2 separate regions of the Mus musculus genome follow, and region 1 is reported to be linked to region 2. Evidence: microRNA targets listed by miRTarBase, many of them from high-throughput screens and not tested one by one. Region 2 holds a microRNA gene; the other region holds the end of a gene's coding sequence.
What was found. The annotated mature microRNA mmu-miR-880-3p reads UACUCCAUCCUCUCUGAGUAGA and lies in region 2 at 1,946-1,967, opposite strand. An mRNA with a match to its seed (bases 2 to 7 or 8) in the 3' UTR can be bound and repressed. Matches are read on the target gene's strand: a 7mer-m8 pairs with bases 2 to 8, a 7mer-A1 pairs with bases 2 to 7 and ends in A, and an 8mer does both.

Region 1: the mRNA of Man1b1 is a reported target of mmu-miR-880-3p. Seed matches in the 3' UTR shown: 8mer at 1,522-1,529.

Annotation. Positions count from the first base shown.
Region 1 is chr2:25,349,932-25,353,001 of GRCm38, forward strand. It overlaps Man1b1 (mannosidase, alpha, class 1B, member 1), which reads left to right. Exons shown (of 13, transcript NM_001029983.2): 13 at 431-2,282. The coding sequence ends at 634. It overlaps Dpp7 (dipeptidylpeptidase 7), which reads right to left. Exons shown (of 13, transcript NM_031843.2): 12 at 2,755-2,825; 13 at 2,359-2,635. The coding sequence ends at 2,488. Among named protein-coding and RNA genes, the nearest start is that of Dpp7, 4.9 kb to the right of the region's middle.
Region 2 is chrX:66,798,595-66,801,722 of GRCm38, forward strand. Mir880 (microRNA 880) reads right to left here and starts at 2,013; the gene lies at 1,936-2,013. Mir463 (microRNA 463) reads right to left here and starts at 703; the gene lies at 629-703. It overlaps Mir878 (microRNA 878), which reads right to left and starts at 2,991; the gene lies at 2,914-2,991.

The sequences.
Region 1 (3,070 bases), not on the chromosome of region 2:
CATTACCCCTCCCCAACTGGGGTCCATGGCCTACCTTGCCTTCTCTCTTACTGTGACATGGCCAGAAAAGGTTATAGAGCTGGATGTGGTCTAAGTGTGACACCTAGCTCTTTGCTCCAGACCTCAACAACTCCAGCTTCTTGCCTGTGCCTGCCCTGGGTTGTGTTTAACAAGCTAGACCCTGGTCATGTCCTGTAGCTGTACCCTTCTTGGAGGTATTTTCTGGCCACTTGGGGGTTATTGGCATTTTACAGGGTCCTGTGTAGAACTGTGGTTGACCTTGGACATTACCTGGGTAGTTGCTAGGATGGAGCCTACCCTGGGGCCATATATGTGGGGTTGAACAAGTAGCCTGAGTGACACGTCTAGCTAGAAGTTCTTCACAAGGCTTGGCTCAACCTGTGTCATTGAGGCTTTGGCTCTTATGCAGGTCCCCTCAGGTGGCTATTCTTCTATCAACAACGTCCAGAATTCCCACAAGCCTGAGCCCAGGGACAAGATGGAGAGCTTCTTTGTGGGGGAAACCCTGAAGTACTTGTACCTGCTCTTTTCTGATGACCTGGAGCTGCTCAGTCTGGACAGCTGTGTGTTCAACACAGAAGCCCATCCCCTCCCCATCTGGGCTCCTGCGTAGGAGGAGAGCACCTGGTCTGGGCACTGATGGAGACTGAGGTGGGCCTGTTGGGTCCCTGACCTTCACAAGGCCCACATAGTTTTGGGCAGCTGTCAAGTGTGATGTACCTGCCCAGTTGTAGGTCCCTCCAGTTTCAACTTTTCATGAAGGTGGTGGGAGGGGCAGGAGTCAGACTAGCAGGTATGGGTTCTGGGGTTTAGGCTGGAAAGTCTACCAAGCCTTTGACTTCCTCGAAACCTCATATCATGGCTCCTGATTCCCATACCTGAATGACCCTGTTGGCTGGCTACCGGCAGCCCCATGGTAGTCCCAAGACTTCTTATCACCTCCTGGGACCACCCAGGACCCCAGTGCCTGTATTGAGTTCAGAGTGATAGCCCAAACCAGTGAGGTGCTGGGCATGGCCCAATGGCCTGTGATAGCCCTGACTCCTGATTGACCCATGGGTCCACTGGGCCAGTGTGACCTTGAGGGTCTTTGTGGCTCTAGTGTTTACGGGTTGGACTCAGGGATCCTCCTGGCTACCCTACTGGGCTGGCGGGGGTTAGAACAGTAAATTTGTCTTATTCCCAGGATACCCTGGTATAATGTGATCTCTCAGCTGAGAAGAAAGTGGACTTGGTCCCACTGTAATGGTTCTTGTGGAGAGGAGGGAAGGGGTGGTGTCTATCTAGACTGACCTTAAGGGGACAGCAGGTTCTCTGGATAACATCTCAGCAACTACCCTCTAAAGTCAGAGCTCCTGTCCACTTCAGGTAGGAAGGCTTTGGGGCCATTATACAAACAGGCTAGGATGCTTGGTTGTGCCGTCTCACAAGGGCCTGTGAAGATCACATGCTGCTGCCGGCTGATAGGTTTGTGGTAGTTGTGCCTTGGTGTCTGAGCCCATGGAGTAGGCCCTGTCTTTGATGAGTTGTTACTAGACTATCCCTGGGCCTTGGCTAGGATTCTCCTATCCAATTCCATGCAGTACAGCATAGGGCAAACTGGACAGAATAGAAAGGACCTCAAGGCTCTGGGCCTGTGTTCCCTGTATATCCCAAGATCTGGAGATTTGACATGCTAACTAACTCATCTGCAGCTCAGTGGCAGCCACCTTGTGCCTCTGAGGTATAGTAGCTACGCTGGGGACTTCCTGTTAAACACGTGGACCCCAAGCCAGTTCTAACACCAAAGGTGTTTACAAAGAAGGACTTGGCTGGTCACATATCCTTAGGCCTTGAGTTTATGGGTAGAAGCTGCCGCCCTCCACCCCCCCCCCCCCCCATCAGTTATAACCCTTTGGTTGATGTTAGCTTCTCCCTATGCTGTCCTCCTCTACCGGAGCCCCATAGGCTTGTGAATGGACAGGTTCAGGCGGCGCCCAGGGCCTAAGCATTGAGAAGTGTATTCTCCATCTCCTGCCAAACTATGGCTGGTGTCAAGGGATGACAGTAACTGCCCTGTGGCCCTCTGAAGAGGTACTGTGGATCAGAGAAACTGGGTAGATGTCCACAAAGCTGGGAGCCTCATTAAAGCATACAAGATGGGAATGGGCCTGGAAGGGGAGGCTGGTGCCCAGTAGAGGCAGGTTTCCCTCCTCCTCCAAAGCAGGAAACCTGAGAGCTAGAGTCCCTGCTTAATTAAATGTCTAAATGGTCTCAGCAAGCTGTGTGCAGTGTTACTTTGTGTAGAGCATATCTCCAATTATCTCATCCTTCCATGCATGGATCCTACTAGACAAGGACACATTAACATGTGTTTATTCAGTTTCTTCCATCTACCATAAATCTGGACAGTCCATCAGATACAAGGCAAGTTGTCACACCACTGTAGATCACATAAAACAAGGGATGTCTGGGGTTTGCTGCATCTTATCTGGAAGGGTGCTGCTTCTTAGGCCCAGGCCACCGTGGCATTGCTGGTTGCTTTAGTCTGGCTGCTGCTACCCACTCACGAATGAGGGTAGATTCCAGCTTACGCACCTCCACGACAGATGGGGGGTCTTCTGAGTTAGATGCTCTAAGAAGCAGACAGATAAGGGGTAAGGATACTCAGCTGGCAAGCAGACAGGGTCAGCATCATGTCCATCTAATCCACAACCCAACAGTGGCCTGGAGGTGGGCTGCACTACACTGTACCTGAGATCTAGGTGATGTGCTCCCCCCTGGATGGTGACAGCAATGACTGATGTACTCAGGTTGCTCTGGATCTGTTGGAAGAATCTGAGGCATGTAGTCTGTGCTTTAAGCCACAGGTAGGCAAGCCCTGTCCCACCCTTGCACCCTGACATAGATGCCAATACTGTCTTTGGGATGCAACTGAAGCAATAATGAGCTTACTGCACAGTTTCAGATAGCTCCATTGGAAAGAAAAGGTTGGATGTGATGGGCCAGATGTTAGACTATACATCAAGTGATGTAGGGGGAAAAAAAGCAACCCAAAAGAGAGAAGAGG
Region 2 (3,128 bases):
GACCATGTAGAGACTGCCATATCCAGGGATCCACCCCATAATCAGCATCCAAACGCTGACACCATTGCATACACTAGCAAGATTTTATTGAAAGGACCCAGATGTAGCTGTCTCTTGTGAGACTATGCCAGGGCCTAGCAAACACAGAAGTGGATGCTCACAGTCAGCTAATGGATGGATCACAGGGCTCCCAATGGAGGAGCTAGAGAAAGTACCCAAGGAGCTAAAGGGATCTGCAACCCTATAGGTGGAACAACATTATGAACTAACCAGTACCCCGGAGCTCTTGACTCTAGCTGCATATGTATCAAAAGATGGCCTAGTCAGCCATCACTGGAAAGAGAGGCCCATTGGACTTGCAAACTTTATATGCCCCAGTACAGGGGAACGCCAGGGCCAAAAAGGGGGAGTGGGTGGGTAGGGGAGTGGGGATGGGTGGGTATGGGGGACTTTTGGTATAGCATTGGAAATGTAAATGAGCTAAATACCTAATAAAAAATGGGAAAAAAAAGAATAAATGCACCTTACTAAACTTTGGTCCTTTAGATACAAATGCCAAATTAAGGCCAGCAAGCTCTAACAAGGGTTAATGCTTCTATACCACAATGATGTTCCAGGTGATGAACATAGTGAACCTTCCTCTACCTTATATGGTGTCTATCATCATTTATGTTTTACATGATGGACAACAAATTAGGTAAAGCAGGGTACATCATACCTTTAATATAAAAATGTTGCAAATGTAGCTTCCATGATCCTCTTTATCTTTTAGCAAAGTACCAATTGTACATTGTTGCTAAAACTTGACATACTTTGTGTATAATATATATACATATATGTACACACACACACACAATCTACAAATTGTCACCAAAAATTCCTCCAAGAGAATATCCTCTGATGTGTCTTCTGTTTCAATTAATGGTATTCTCTACCAAGACAATACGGGGGACTGTAATTTCACTTATATAAGTTAGAATTTCTCGTTGAAGTTATTTTTCTTCCTCCTGTAACATGCAAGTATTAAAATAATTATTAGATTTGTGTGTTCAGCAAGGAATAACTACAGAACCCATAAAAATAGAAAAAGGCCACTGGGTAGAGAGTTGTGAGAAAAGCTTACTAAAAGGGTAACAAAACACAGGTGGTATGGAAGAGGAAAGGAGACTAATGGGGGGGGGCATTGTTTAACTGTGGAGCAAGGTAAGATTCTAGGATAAGTGAGGGAGTAGGGAAGAAATGAGTATCACAACTCTGTTTTAAATATCCATATAAGAACAATATATGGTAGATACAGTGACCTGTAGTTTGCGTAGATGATTGCCAACACTGTATCTGTAAAATTAAATTCATTTTATTAATTCATATGAAGAATAAACTAAATGTTTTGCACTTTTATGCTTACATACTTGTATATATTCATAAGGTGAGTACACAAATGAAATCTTCATTAAATATTGCCTTACCCAATATGGGATATCATCTTTTATGTTTCCCAGGGTGCACAGAAAATTAGCTAAAGCAGCATACATTATATGTAAATGTTGAAATGTTGAAATCTAGCCTCTACAATCCCCTTTTTATCTTTAGCTTGCATCAAGTTACCAACTCACATGATAACTAAATGCTAGTCTAATTTGTTCATGCATCATCATGGATTCCATCAAGAACCTATCTTTTTAACATTCCTCCAGCTTCAGAAGAATGGTTTTCACTAGCATGAAAGTTAGCTGACTGCCATTTTCTCTGAACCGTAGTATTTCCCAAAAAGATCATTTTTTATCCTTCTGTAGTCTGTTCACTCATCCAAGCTATCTAAGGTGAAGTGTAATACATTGAAGCTGAAGACTGGAAAACACATCTAATATGCATGCATGTATCAACCTCACCATATCCATACATGAGACATTTACAGGTACCAAAACTGGTGATTGGTGTGCCTTACTCTACTCAGAGAGGATGGAGTAACATGCAATAGGAAGTGACTCATATCAATCTGAGTATTGCAGTGCACACAGTTTGTTCAGTGATGTCCTGTGTCTCAGCTTGATCCCACAATCTTCAGTATATTCCAGCAATTATATAAATATAGTTAGATACATCAACAATACCTTATTTATTCATAGGTTTAAAAGGACTATACTGCACTTTATCTTTCACAACTCTTCATATTCTATGATCTATAGTATTTAACTTTATACATGTATGCACTAATAAAAGTACCTTATGTTAGCACCTTTCTTTACATTATTTAACATGAGGTTCATAAGATTAAGAACAGACTGTCCAAAGAATGTTAAAGAGAATTTAAGCCATCAGATATCAAAAATTCCTCTATAAATAGGAACTTCAAGTTACCTTGGTTACATACAGAGGCCATTATATGAGTTACTTGCTGAACCTTCCTTTAAGAAAATCCATGGTCATAAGGACTTCATCTCATCAGTACCAATGTTAATATAAAAATGAGCATAATTGTATTTAAGTAGACACTGTCACAAAAGCTTCCTTCATCTCCTGCCCATTTTATTACATAGTCATCAAACCACAATGTTTGAACTCTTCTGTAATTTAGGCTTAAAATCATATTATCAAACACCTTTAGTATGTGTTTCTCATACCATAAATCCTTTTACTTGCCTTCTTCTAAGGGAAATGACTGTCAAAATAAAGAGTGGAGGTTTTATAAATGTATTCATGTACTGGGAACTGTGTTAATGTACTTTATTTTTTCTTGTCTGACTTAAAGAGATTCTTTCTGACACTAACACAACATTCCTTATGTAAAGGTAACAATATAAATACACCTAGAAACACAATATGCATGGTTCTATTTCTGTGCAGCCAAACTAACAGCAGCATTCATTTATCAGCACTGTGACCACCCAAGCCCACAACAAATGAGGAACACTGTGAGCCCTCCTCTACCCAGTGTGGTGTCATGCACTTAAGTTTCACGTGTCTTGACATCCAACTAGATAAAGCATTGCACACAACACTCTTTTCATTAACTTGCTGTATAAGAAGCCTCTATCATACACTTCAGCTTTTATCAGAGACTAAATTAAAAAAAAACATGATAACTATCCTTTGACATAATTTGTCCATCTACTTTTGAGAATAATTAA